Elephas maximus indicus: one gene and its partner. The protein of the gene in region 2 interacts with the protein of the main gene of each other region in a biochemical or structural test. Links are inferred from orthologs where the notes say so. Each region holds a gene or a part of one and is shown on either strand. Other genes may lie near its edges.

Region 1 (7,188 bases), on a different chromosome or scaffold from region 2:
TCAAATATTTTATTGGAAATATTTTTCATTTGTTAATCTCTCCTGATAGCACAGTGGTGAAGTGCTCAGCTGCTAACCAAAAGGTTGGCAGTTCGAATCCATTAGCCGCTACCTGGAAACGCTATAGGGCAGTTCTACTCTGTCCTATAGGGTTGCTATGAGTCAGAATCGACCTGACGGCAACAGGTTTGGTTTGGTTTGATCTCTCCATTTGGTTTGTAAACTCTCAGAGAACAGACATTTTATATCATGTACAACATTTCACATAGCAGAAACTCAAACACGTATTTATTTTCAAGTACTAGTAAATGCCATAAGAAGCCTTGGCAGCGCAGTGGTTAAAGCGATCCACTGCTAACCAAAAGGTCAGCAGTTCAAACCACCAGCAGCTCCATGGGAGAAAGATGTGGCAGTCTGCTTCAGTAGAGATTTATAGTTTTGGAAACCCTATGGGGTCACTGGAAACCCCGGTGGTTTAGTGGTTAAGGACTACGGCTGCTAACCAAAAGGTCAGCAGTTTGAATCCACCAGGCACTCCTTGGAAACTCTACGGGGCAGTTCTACTCTGTCCTATAGGGGCACTATGAGTTGGAATCGGCTTGACTGCAACAATACGGTTTTATGGGGTCACTATGCACTGGGTTTTTTGGGTTATGAGTCAGAATCGACTCGACAGCAATGGGTTTTGGAGTATGTAGCAGACCAGATGCTAAGTACCTTGAATGCATTTTCTCATTTAATCCTTAAAACAAACTTATGTAGTTGGTATTATGATCCCCATTTTATAAATTAAGAAAATGAGACTTAAACAGATTCAGTTGGTTTATGATCACACAGCTAGTAAACAGTGGAGCCAATATGCCAGCTAGGGTCTCTGTGATTCAAGCTCATAATCTTAACTACTAAGGTGCTAACACTGCTCTCTCTTGATTCTTTTACCTCTCTCTCCTCCTCAGCCTCAAAGGAACCCTGGTGGCACAGTGGTTAAGCGCTGGCCTGCTAACCGAAAGGTCAGCAGTTCGAATCCACCAACTTGGAAACCCCATGAAGCAGTTCTACTCTGTCCTTTGGGGTCACCATGAGTTGGAATCAATCTGACCGGATGGCAACAGGTTTGGTTTTTTCCTCAGCCTCCTTACTAGCTCTTGCTCTACCCAACCCCATAAATACTGGTATTCACTAAGATTCCTTCTTTTGCTCTCATTTCACTTGTAACAAACGTGTTCACTCCCCTGAATCCAATCACTGGCAAATCCTGTCACCTCTACTTTCAAAATATATCTAGAATCTAATTCCTTTTCATCACCTTGAACACTACTCCTCAGGTCTTCCTATCATACAGACTATTGTAAAAACCTCTTCAGCTGTTATCTCACTATAGTTTATTCTCTAGTCAGATTGATTCTTTGAAAATTTAAGTCAGACATACGTATGTGTACATGCTACAAACACATCCATGTATGTAGTTGTGCACACAAGGGACATAGTCATGAAAACGTCTTAGCCATAACCATATACCTCATGGGACTGAGATACTGGTCTTGAGAGTTAGAATAGTCCCGGGGGACATCTAGATCAACTGGCATATCTTACTCCATACAATGTTGTACATCCTACCTTGTTGAGCAGCACCTGGGGTCTCAAGAGCTTGCGAGCAGCCATCTAAGATACAATTGGTCTCTTCCTGTCTGGAGCAAAGAAGAGTGAAGAAAACCAAAGCCTCAAGGAAAATATTAGTCCAAAGGACTAATGGACCACCTGAACCACAGCCTCCACCAGCCTGAGTCCAGAAGAACTAGATGGTGTTCAGCTATCACTACTGACTGCTCTGACTGAGACCACAATAGTAGGTCATGGACAGAATGAAATGAGAAATACAGAACAAAATTCAAACTAAGACCAGACTTACTGGTCTGATAGAGACTGGGGGAGCTCCCAAGGCTATACTCCTTAGACACTCTTCTAACTTGGAACTGAAATCACTCCCAGAGATCACATTATAGCCATACAGCAGAACAGGCCTATAAGATGAACAATTAACACCAGTGAGGAATGTACATCTCAGAACAATCAACTATATGAGACCTAAGGGGCAGCATTTGCCTAAAAACACAGCTCAGAAGGATGGTAGGGGCAGGAAAGCTGGGTGAATGGATACAGGAAGCCAGGAAGGAAGGGGGGAGAGTGCAGACACATTCAAGAGTTTGCAACCAAGGTCACAAAACAAGCTGTGCATAAATTATTGAATGGAAAACTAATTTGCTCTGTAAACTTAACCTAAACAACAAGAAAATGTTCACACAAAAAAAGAAAATTGAAGTCAGTCATGTCACTCCTCTATTAAAAAATTCCCCCACTGGTTTTCCATATCATAAAGGATAAAAGCTAGAGTCCTAATCATCACCTACAAGGCCCTACACAATCTATTCCCCATTCCCCACCATTACCTCTGTGACCCCTCTTCTACTATTCCTACTAGCACTGCTCACTTCGATAAGCCACGTGGCCCCTTACGCTACCCCTCTAACACTTTCCACATGGCTCACTGCTTTACCTCCTTCAAATCTTTGCTTCAACATCTTCTCAAAGAGACCTTACCTGGTCACCCTATTTAGAATGACAGCATCTTTCCCACTGTACTTCCTGTTTTTCTCTACAGACCATATCACCATTTTATTGTGCCTTCTCCAGAAAAATATAACCTCCATGAGGGCAAGGATTTTTGTCTGTTTTGTTCATTGCTGAATTCCTAGCACCTTTACGGTAGCTGGCACGTAGTAGGTACTCAATAAGTATTTTTAAAATGAAACCCAGACTTTTACCCCTAAACTCTCAGCTCTTCAGCAAAAAAACCCCATATTTCCAATTGACTACTAGACATCTCCAAAGTGACGTCCTAAAGACTCTTAAGCCTAAAACTAAATTTCTCTCCTATACAAGACTGGCTCTTCCTCCTCTTCCCAACCTAAAGGAGTCAATCTTGGAGTCATCTTTCATTCCTCCCACATTTAACTAATCTATAAATTCATACAATTCTACATTCCAAATTTGTTCCCATTCTAATAAGCACTACCTTATTTCAGGTCTTTTGACAAATAGTTACTGAGCACCTACTGTGAATCAAGCATTATCTTAAATACAGGAAAATAATCATAAGGAAAAAAAGTCTTTGCCTGCATGGAACTTACAATCTAGTAGGGGAACAAGGCAATTAATGATCACATAAAAAGTGTTTAACTGACTTAAAAAAAAAAACAAGCTCAAGGCTCTATAAAAGCGTATGAAAAGAGGTCTGATCATGTGCATGGATAGAGAGGGCAGGGAAGGCTTCCTTGGGTAAACAATGCTTGAATGATATCTGAAGGGTGACTAGCAGTTGATTAGACAAAGGTATTGCGGGGAGTGGGAGGTGGCAAGAGCACTGTAGGCAAAAGGAAACTGCAGCATTTGTGAAGGTTCTAGATTCTGAGGTAAAAACAAGAGGCAGTAGTCCATGGTGATCTAAGAACATCAATTTTTGAGACAGACTGCCTGGGTGTGAACCACAACTTAGCTGTGACATACAGCAAATTACTTAATCAGTTATTTAATCTCTCTGCACTTCAGTTTTCTCATCTTAAAATGGGATAATAGTAGTATTTACCTTATCAAATTAGTTAATGTATGTAAACAGCATTGACCAGTGCTTGCCACATAGTAAATGATATGTTAGTGTTAGAAATTAATGAATATAGCCATTCTGAGAAAATGAAATAAAGCCACTGTGGTTGGAGTGTTATAAACTACATTGGAGAGACATTAAAAGGTTTTAAGCTGAGAAGTAATGATAAAATCTGTCCCCCTCCAGATTCCACCCTCTGCACTGCCAGTAGAACACAGACAGGTCTGATCATCCTCCTTCTGCCTACATGACAAAAGCCAAACTCCTTACACAATTCGTTGTTTTAGATGCTGTTGTTCCATATAGGACAGAGCAGAACTGCCCCATAGATTTTCCAAGAAGCGGCTGGTGGATTTAAACTGCTGACCTTTTGGTTAGCAGCCGAGCTCTTAATCACTACACCACCAGGGCTCCACAACTTAGAAGGCCCTTTTCAGTATCAGTGCAATCCACCCTTATAGTCACACAGTTCACCTAGTTTTCCCTTCCAAACTATCTTCAGCTATCCACATATATGCACGTTATGCTTCAATAATGCAAATGTCTCACTATTCTTAACACTGACACTACTATACCTCTCTCCTCTCCTCTGCAATAGTCCATTTTTTAATGTTTGACTAGAAATCTGGTACTGTTACAGTTCAAAAGACATTTTCACCCACATCCACAGTTCTGTCTCTTTCCAACTGTGCTAGCATGACTGCACTTCTATAAAATCTTTATTGCCAGTGTAAACCAAAAACAAAAAAACCAAACCCGTTGCTGTCGAGTTGTTTCCGACTCATAGAGACCCTATAGGACAGAGTAGAACTGCCCCATAGGGTTTTCAAGGAGCACCTAGTAGATGTGAACTGCCGACCTTTTGGTTAGCAGCCTGAGCTCTCAACCACTGTGCCACCAGGGCTCCAGTGCCAATTTAGACAGATAATATTTTTCGTTCACTTCAAATCTTGTTCCTTAACAGTAACTCCAGGTCCCATTTTAAAGCCCCAAACCCCCTTTATAAAAAATGGAAAGGTTTAAAAAAAAAAGAAAGAGATAAAACCCTAAGTCAACCCAAAAGTCAGGATCACTCTATCACCTGTCCTGAAAGTCAGAATTAAAGGCATGAGTTCTTAACTAGAGGTCCATGGACTCCTCAGGGCTACCAGGTAGTTTTACGAGGCCCCTCAAATTGCATGCAAAATATGTATACATGCCTTTTTGTGGGGGAAGAGGGTCCATACCTTTCATCAGAGTTTCAAAGAGATCTGTGACCTCCAAAAGGTTAAGAAGTACTCTAGAGAAAAAGCAAAGACAAGCAAATGTGATTAAAAGGGTGAGTCCTTTTTAGGCTGCCTGGAATGCCTCATGTTCTTAATATCTAAAACCTGAAATCAGGTCAGAGGACATTCTGTAAAAGCGACTTAACCAATTAAATGCAAATTTAATATAGATCTGAAAAATACAGATTTGACGGAAGGAGGAACTCTATAAACACAAAATCCAAAAAGGCAAGTCATGGAATAGGAAGAAAATACTAAGTTTTCTATTCATATTTCCTTTCATCTCATCCACTCAAAAGTTCCTTTTGTGTGTGTTTTTTATAATATACATAACAACACAGTAGTATGTATGTAATTTATATATAAGTATACATACAATGAAGGTGGTGGCGTAATTTGTTTTTACTCATCATGATATTAAGAGGCCACCGATATAACCTACCCATTTCAGTACCATCAACTTAGCAGTAACACCAGCATAACAAAAAAAACCCACTAGTACAATTTAGAAATCAACGGTAAGAAATAGATCGGCTTTCACAGAAAGGATAATTGGTGTCAACTAATAAGTGATTAAAGAAAGGACCTCTATCTTTACTACTTAAACTTACTGGTCATCAAGTTCTAAAGGATCAATTTTCACTTTTGGCTAAATCGGCCTGTTTCGATCACGATTCCCAGAACGTGACCAAAACATCTGATGGGACAACTATTTGTGAAACCAAAAATGGACAACTTATCAAGTTAATTCGCCCTAAAAGAAACTACTCTTTTCTTGAACGAAAATGATAATCTAAATGTGAGAAAGCTACCAAGACCCATAACTTTAAATAGCTTCTGTGATTCGGAGTGTCAGTCGTGATATCAAGAGATGCAAGGTCCATCCACGCGATATGCAAGGGACTGAGACAAACCTAACCTTGGCATTGTATTCCACAGAACTGAAGCTAAGGGTTCTTTCTCCAAGGGGGGAGGTAAGGAGGTGCGGCCTGGAGGACCGGGAGCCACAAAGAGAACTCGAAAAACTTTTAAATCTGAGGTGTCTGTGCCTTTACTAACTGCTAAGGTCCCCTGAACCCCAGGTCTCGCCCAGGTTTCAAAGTTAGCCTCCGGGGGCGTAACCCCACCTGTAAAAAGAAGTGGAAGCATTTTCTGGATCACGTCTCGGTCCTCGACACAAATACACAAAGGTGCAATCACCTAATAGGGGAATCTCAACTTTGATAAACAGACGGGAAGCATCAACTCGGAAGAAAGGGGGGGTCCCGTGTCGGCGCAGGGGGAAAAAGAGGGGGCCGCTGACGTAATGCACCTCTGACAAGAAACGAAAAAGGAGTATAACAGGTAGAAGGCACTTACACAACCCAGTGGGGAAGGCTGACCGACGATACAGCGATTAAGAAAATTGGGAAGTCGAAATAACAAGTAAAAATAACTGTAAAGCCACGAGGAAAAACGGAAAAGTAGAGGAGTAGTGGGAAGACGGCAGGCACAAAAGAAAAGCCGACTAACTACGGCGGGAGAGGGAAAAGAAAATGGAAAAAAGCTACAAGGAGAACACGCAGAAGAAGGCGCAAGCCACTCTGCAGAATCCAGTTTCCAGAAAAGTCCAACTCAGCCATTCTCCCCTTCACGGTACCTTCAGCTTATGAAGCTCCACCGTCTCCGCCGCCATCTTGTTACCCCCTCTACTCCACTAGGCCCCCACCCGCCCCTTCTGCCGCCAAGAGCGCCCGCTTACGCGCAGAAAACGGCGGACCAATCGCTGTCAGTCTTACTTCCACCCCACACCATCAGCTCTTCCCATTAGTCAAGAAGTGGTGTCGCTCTCGCTCTTCTCAGCAGCTTTCCCCACCTCTCTCAAAAGGTGGGACAGAGAAAAGGGCGGGTTCTGCCGCTTCTGAACGACGGAAATAGCGACCAATTGGAGTCTCCATTGCAGACCGCCAGCCAATGGGTGGTGGAAGCGCTGATTCTGCTCCACCAATAGGGAGAGTACAAATGGGCGGGGACGGCTGCTTCCTGGAGACTACAGGTGTGGAAGCGAGCGCCGTGCTGTAGGAGGGGAGCTGTCAGGTAGGGGCTACCGGGAGACTGGAAAGGGGTTACTGAGGAAAAAAGGTGGGAGGGGGAAAGGAGGTGTGGGGGAGTTACAAACCGAGAGATGAGTGCTGGAGAGAGCCCTGAGGGGACCTGACGAACGAGAGAGGGAAGCTGGGAGAAGTATGGGGCGGGTTCAAAAGAGTTTAGGTATTTTTAGGT
Region 2 (7,310 bases):
ACCGCCGCCGCCACTCTTGAATAACAAGGTGGTGGTCCAGTAAGTGGAGCAGCAGGCGACCGCTGGAGGCAGGAAGCGCGCCTGCCCGTGTTGGAGCGCGCGGTTGCTAAGTGGAGTCGGTTGGCTCTCGTAGCAGCACGCGGAGGTGAACCCAGAATCAGGTAAGTGGCAGAGCCGTGGTGAGGTGCCCCCAGGCCTGCGGGCGAGCGGATGAGGGAAGACGCCGGGTGTGGAGGGAGTAGAGGATGGGGCGCGAGCCCTGAGGGGTGGGAGCGGGTGTTGGGGCGCCCCGCGCGCCCGGTGGCCGTTGAGCGCGGGGGCGCATGCGCGAGGGGCGGGCTGGCCGTTGGCGTGCGGGGCCGCTTCCGGGAGGGGTTGTCATGGCCGCCGACCCCTCGAGCCCGACCTGTGACTGAGCTCGTCTGTCTGTCGTCCGAACAGAGCCCGAGGCAGCCCAAGGCGCTTTGGGGAGGGCCCGGGGGGCGAGAAGCTGAACCTTCGAGACAGGGCGGGCCTCTCCGAGTCCCAGAAATCCCCTTCACCGGGCTCTGTTCTTGCCCGGTGTTTGGGAGATTTGGGGTTCCAGAGATTTAGGGGAAAAAAAAAGATTTCTTTCGGAAATAGACGACCCCAGTAAGGAGCAAACTCGGGGGTGGAAAGCTGCACTTAAGAGCGAATGGATGCGAGTATCGTGTCTGGGTTGTCACTATCTCAGTGTCAATTTCCAAGTTCACCCACTCCAGGAGGTCCGCCACATCGTATCTCCTTCTGATCTAATTTGCTTTGAGCATTATATCTTGTCCAGTCACCTCCTGGAGATTTTTGTGCCTCAAACTGAACTTCAGATTTCCACCAAAAGCAATCCAAAAAAAACCACAAAAATTTCATTTGACCTTCTCAATAATTTTAAATACACCACCTCCTCTTGGTCACCCAGGTTTGAAGCCCAGAGTAGATGACCCTGGCTCTTTGCTCTTGGGTCATCCAGAGTCTGGATTATTCTACGCTCTTCTCTGTACTTGATGAATGCCCCCATCCTGGTTTTCTCTGCTGCTGGTCCCTCCTCCGGAAACCTTGGTGGCTAGTGATTAAGACCTATGGCTGCTAACCAAAAGTTCAACAATTTGAATCCACCAGGTGCTCCTTGGAAACTGTATGGTGCAGTTCTGTTCTGTCCTATAGGGTCGCTATGAGTCAAAATAGACTCCACACAAGTGGTTTGATTTTTATTTTTAGTCCCTCCTGCACTCCATCCTCATCCTGGTTGAGTCACTCAATTCAGAAGCTCGTCAGTGATTTCCTGTTGCATAGTAAATTGAGTACAAATGCCCTGGTCTTCTGCCTGTACTTCAGCCACGAAGTCCTACTCCCATTCCCCAAAAGGGTCTGGTGCTTTTCCCAGTGGCCGTTCTTGCCTCATGTCGTTTTTCCTCCTGCCTGTTTTTGCTACTCAGAATCCTCAGGGACCTTATCAGGTGCTGCTGCTTTCAAGGATCAGGTAACAGACATGCTTACTTTAGCCCCAGAACTCTGCCTTGAGGCCTTGATCCTAGTAGGACTTTGGATCGATTTGTTTCAATTTCACGCTCTGCTGAGAGTTAGTATTTCCACTCTGGATATACTGAATCAATCTACATTTTAACCAGATCCCCTAGTGATTCTTACGGATCCTGGGGATCTTGGTAGAATGCATATTTGTATTCAAAATGTCTGGGTATAAAAGCAAATTCTCAGTAGGGGGTCGAACCAAAACAAACCATTTCAAAGCCCTGGATTCTAATTCCATTCATTCAATCAGTGCTCGGTGAGTACCTTCCTGCTGTGTGGCAGGCCCTGTTCTAGGTGCTGGGGACACAGTAATCCACAAAACAGCCAGTCAGGTGAGAATGACAAATACATGACACGTCAGGTGGGAAGAAGAATAAGCTGGGTAGGGTCTCCTGTGCCTGGAGGGTATGCTGTTGTAGTTGGGACCCTCAGGAAAGACCCTTCCGGAGCGACATAATTTGAGTGAAGGAACAGTGAGTGCAGAGGCACAGAGGGGAGTTAGAGGCATTCAGGGGATGAGATCTGAGGGCAGTGGGGGGTCAGGTCGAGTCAGATGTGATAGGCCATGGTAAGGACTATTCCTAGCAGATGGGAGCCATGAGTGGAGGTTGTGTACACAAGTGATATGATCTGACTTGGTTCCCTCTGGTTGCTGTGAACGTGGGGGAGGCAGAAGCTGGGGACCACCGAGGAGGCTGCTGCCATAATCCAGCCAAGAGTCCAGCTGTGGATGAACAGGGAAACAAAACATGGTGCATCCGTACAATAGGGTATTATTCAGCCACGGAAAGGAATGAAGTTCTCATTCATGCTACCGTGTGGATGAATCTTGAAAACATTGTGCTAAGGGAAAGAAGCCAGACACAAAGACCACGTATTGTAGAATTCCATTGATATGGAATGTCTGGAGACAGGAAGGAGGTTAGCAGTTGCCAGGGGATTGGGAGATCGGAGGGTGAGGTTGGTAGCTAAGGGTATGTATGGGGTTTCTTTTTGAAGTGATGAAATGTTCTAAAATTGATTGTGGGGATGATTGCACATGTCTGAATTGTGTACTCTAAATGGGTGAATGGTAAGGTAGGTAGATTTTATCTCAGTGATCCTGTTCTAATTAAAAAAGGAGGTGATGGCCAGTGTGGTAGCAGGGTGAGGTGGCTGATCGACCTGGCAGGGTTTGCTGGTGAATGGGACATGGAGGATGAGCAAGAAGAGGCAGGCACTGAGAGAATGGAATTGCCGCTTATGAGATGGGGAGAGCTGGCTGTGGGGAGAAACAGTTTTCATTCTAGGCATTTTGAGTTCAAGGGGAGATGTGGAGAAGGCAGCTGTGGAAAGGAGTCTGGAGGTCAGGGGAGAGGTTGCCTCCAGAGACACAGGCTTGGGAGGGGCAGCACAGAGATGTTTAAGCGGGGAGGGGGGCGGGGTACTGGATGAAGTCACAGAGAGAGAGAGAGAGAGGAGGACCAGAAATGGGGCCCAGGGCACAGCACTCAGGCTCGGGAAGAAGCACTGCTTCTGCACCTCTGCCCCCGTTGGGCTGGAGGCTGGGCTGGGGCGGGAGGGTGGAGGGAGACTGTCCTCAGGCTGTCCTCAGGTTTGGATCCCGGGTGGCACAGCTGCACCCTGTGCTCTGTACGTGTTGGACTAAATAAAGTGAGGAGGTGAATGAGCTTCGTATTAATTCCATTTACTGCCTTGGCTTTATTTTTATTGGCCCTGGGCCCAACGGGAGGCCTTTTCCTGAGAGCACTTAATTATTCCCCTGTGCCAACCACAAATAGCGGGAGAAGCTGAGCGGCGCAGACACCACTCCCTAACAAACGCCCTCCTCCAGCATTGCAGCAGCTTTCCTTAGGGCCGTGACCCCATCTCTAGGTCTCTGGGATCCTGTACTACGCAGCCCAGCAGGGCACATGGAGAGTGGTGGGCAAGGGCAGCTTTAGGCTGGGGGTCTGAGGAGGGCACTTTAGAGCTGAAATGGAGCATTCTTGCGAGGACCTGGGGCTCCTCTAGCCTAAGAAACAAAGCTGGCCTGGTATGAGGGGAGTGGTGCTGGATGAGGGGGGCAGGGCCCCACAAGGAGGGGTGGAAATTGGGGCTCACTCTGAGAGCACTGGGAAGCCTTTGAGGGTCTTTGTAAGTGTATGTGGGTGTGACCACCTGGTGTGTGTTTTAGCTGCCATTGGGCTGGCTTTTGACTCATGGCGACCCCATGTGTTAGAGAGTAGAACTGCTCCGTAGGGTTTTCTTGGGTATCATCTTTATAGAAGCAGATTTCTAGGCCTTTCTTCTGTGGCACCCCTGAGTGGGTTTGAACCGCCAGCCTTTCAGTTGGTAGTCTAGTACAAACCATTTGTACCACCCAGGGACCTTGATGGTATGTGTTTTACGAGGGGCAGGTGTGGTGGAAGGGCAGGGGGTCGAGGCAAGGTGAGGTGGCTTCGACCAGGGTGGTGGGGGTGCAGATGGGGAGACGGGATGCAGTTGGAGGCAGCTCATGGTTGGAGCTTGCGGGACCCGCCGATGATTCAATGTGGAGGTGACGAAAAGAGTCAGGATGGCATCGAGTAGTCTCGGCTGGGTGGGCTTCCATGCTTGCTTTCAAGACTGGCCAGCAGTGTCATACCGCCTTGGGACCTGTCCACCTTGCCCGGCAAGTTTTCCTGCAAGCATCTGGGTCACTGCCCTCTGCCCTCCTCTGCTCTGTTCTCAGCACTATGGCAGAACAGGATGTGGAAAACGAGCTTCTGGATTACGAGGAAGATGAAGAGCCCCAGGCGCCTCCAGAGAGCACTCCAGCTCCATCCAAGAAAGATGTCAAGGGTTCCTACGTTTCCATTCACAGCTCTGGCTTCCGGGACTTTCTGCTAAAGCCAGAGCTACTGAGGGCCATTGTGGACTGTGGCTTTGAGCACCCATCTGAGGGTATGCCTCCCTGTCTTCTCGCCCTGCCAGGACCCTCACCAAGACCAGCTCTGCCCGTAGATGGGAACATGTGCCTTCCTGGTGGGGTTGGTGGTGCTTAGGCAGGGTCTGTGGCTCAGAGGTGTCCAGTAGCTGCCCTTTGCAGCGTGGTACTCTGCTTTACCAGACAGATACCCCAGACCCACAGTTGTTTGTGACATGATAGGCCCTGGCCTCCTCTCCTTGCCCTCACCAGGGCCTCTTGGCCAGCCCGTGAGGAGCCTGCACAGAGGGGGCACCCAGCATCTGGCCGCTCAAATCCTTTTCCTCCCACAGTCCAGCACGAGTGTATCCCCCAAGCCATCCTGGGGATGGACGTCCTGTGCCAAGCCAAGTCTGGAATGGGCAAGACAGCGGTTTTCGTGCTGGCCACCCTGCAGCAGATCGAGCCCGTCAATGGACAGGTATGGGTGACCTCCCCTCCCAGCCCAATCCGCTGAGCAGAGGGCCCCCTTTCCCTGCAGCACACTGCTTCCTGTTCCTTTTTCATCTCTTCTTAAACATTTCTGTCTTCACATTCTTTTTTTTAATTGTGCTTTTGATGAAAGTTTTATAGGCCAAGTTAGTTTCTCATACAAAAACTCATATGCACATTCATATGTGACCATAGTTGCTGTCCATGTAATGTGACAACACATTCCTCCTTTTCACTCTGGATTTCCCATGTCCATTCAACCAACTCCTATTGCTTTCTTCCTTCTCCTCTCACCTCTGGACAGGAGCTGCCCATTTCGTCTTGTGTATCCTCTTGAACTAAGAAGCACACTCTTCAGTAGTATCAAATTATGTCTCATAGTCTAGTCTAATCTTTCTCTGAAAAATTGGCTTCAAGAATGGTTTTATTTCTGGGCTAAACGGAGAGTTTGGGGGCTATGTCTTCTGGGCTTCCTCCAGTCTCTGTCAAACCATTAAGTCTGGTCTTTTTGCTAGAATTTCAGTTCTGCATCCCACTTTTCTTGTGCTCCATCAGGGACTCTTTAATGTGTTCCCTGTCAAGGTGGTCGTTGGTAGTTGCTGAGTACCATCTAGTTCTTCTGGTCTCAGGCTGATGGAATCTCTGGTTTACGTGGCCCTTTTTGTCTCTTGGGCTAATATTTTCCTTGTATCTTTGGTGTCCTTAACTCTCCTTTGCTCCAGGTGGGTTGGGATCAATTGATGCATTTTAGATGGCCACTCATTAGCTTTTAAGACCCCAGACACCACTCATCAAAGTGGGATGCAGAACATTTTCTTAGTAAACTTGGTTATGCCAGTTGACCTAGGTGTCCCCTCAAGCCATGGTCTCCAGACCTCCACCTTTGCTATACTGTCTCTTGAAGTGTTTGGTTGTGTTCGGGAAACTTCTTAGCTTTTGGTTCAGTCCAGTTGTGCTGACTTCCCCTGTATCATGTCTTGTCCTTCACTTCGTGTAAGATAATTCTTGTCTACTGTCTAGTTGGTGAGTTCCCCTCCCTACTCATAACCATCAAAGAATATTTTCTTCTGCGTTTAAACTTTTTCTTGAGATCTCGTAATAGTGGTCTCGTGCAATATTTGTTCTTTTGCAACTAATTTCACTTAGCATAATGCCTTCCAAATTCATCCAGGTCATGAGATGTTTTCCAGATTCATCGTTGTTCTTTTATCATTGCATGGTATTCTGTTGTCCCGCATTAGTTTTGTGGGCTTATAAGATTAAATGTAGTATTGTAATAAAATCAGAAAATATCAATAAACCAAAAAAAGTATCCATAGTTTTTCTACATAAGGAGATCACTTATATTAAATGATGTGTGCACTCTTAGATTGTTTTCATAAAGGCGGGTGTGTACTGAGTGGAGCTCCATTAGCGCAGGCCACCTGGGCTAGGCTGGGCCTCATTGACCTTATTGCATGTGTGGGTAGGGGTGCCCATCAGGAGCTCCCTGCCTTCTTGGCGGGAGATAGGCCTCAGTAGCTAGGAGAGGGTGAAGGGCCATGAGGAGGTGGAAGCATGGGACTGGGCATGCTAATGGCCTAGGTGTGGGGAACAGTGGGAGGTCCAGCGTGGGGTTAGGCTTGAATATTGTCAGTTGGGAAGGGAAGAGCACACTGGCATGGGCTTTGGGCCCTGGGAAGGGTTAGGACCTTGGCTTAAGGACCCCTCTTCTCCCACCCGACAGGTGACAGTCCTGGTCATGTGCCATACTCGGGAGCTGGCCTTCCAGATCAGCAAGGAATATGAGCGCTTCTCCAAGTACATGCCTAATGTGAAGGTGAGCCCCTTGGGCTGGGCCCAGTGCCCAGTGGTCTTCTGCAGTGTGCTGGCCTCAGCTGTGGCTCAGCCAGCGTTTACTAAGCTTGGCTGCAGCAGCTGCCTCTGAGGTTTGCGGTAGTTTATGCTCCTTAAAAGCCTGATGAATTATGCATGGCCCCCAAGGCCTTTGCTGCCCCAGCCCTGGGGCTGCTTTTCAGGGGCGCTGGCCAGGCTCTCAGGCTTGTGTCCCTGCAGGTCTGGCTTGTTCTCAGGCATGGGGGTGGTGATGGGCATCCTTGGGGGTTGCAGGCCTGTGCTGGCAGGGCCATGGGCTGGGTGTCAGCACAGAGGGTGGGGTGCCGAGCCTTTATGCCAGGTGGGCAAAAGCAACTTCTCCGTGTCCTCGCAGGTGTCAGTGTTCTTCGGTGGCCTCTCCATCAAGAAGGATGAAGAAGTGCTGAAGAAGAATTGTCCACATGTTGTGGTGGGGACCCCGGGCCGCATCCTGGCGCTTGTGCGGAACAGGAGCCTCAACCTGAAGAATGTGAAGCACTTCGTGCTGGACGAGTGTGACAAGATGCTG

Evidence for each region. The genes of interacting proteins can lie anywhere in the genome.
Region 1: the proteins of DDX39A (region 2) and SARNP form a complex in vitro, tested with the Homo sapiens proteins (2 studies listed by BioGRID). The link is inferred for Elephas maximus indicus from reciprocal best matches to the Homo sapiens genes DDX39A and SARNP.

The regions. Positions count from the first base shown.
Region 1 is NC_064822.1:115,787,019-115,794,206, forward strand, and holds the start of SARNP (SAP domain-containing ribonucleoprotein), read right to left. Parts: upstream 3,091-7,188; 5' UTR 1,663-3,090; coding exon 1,618-1,662; intron 1-1,617. UniProt on the Homo sapiens protein: Binds both single-stranded and double-stranded DNA with higher affinity for the single-stranded form. Specifically binds to scaffold/matrix attachment region DNA. Also binds single-stranded RNA. Enhances RNA unwinding activity of DDX39A.
Region 2 is NC_064821.1:33,009,444-33,016,753, reverse strand, and holds the start of DDX39A (ATP-dependent RNA helicase DDX39A), read left to right. Parts: upstream 1-4,265; coding exon 4,266-4,473; intron 4,474-4,788; coding exon 4,789-4,916; intron 4,917-6,653; coding exon 6,654-6,746; intron 6,747-7,136; coding exon 7,137-7,310. UniProt on the Homo sapiens protein: Helicase that plays an essential role in mRNA export and is involved in multiple steps in RNA metabolism including alternative splicing. Regulates nuclear mRNA export to the cytoplasm through association with ECD.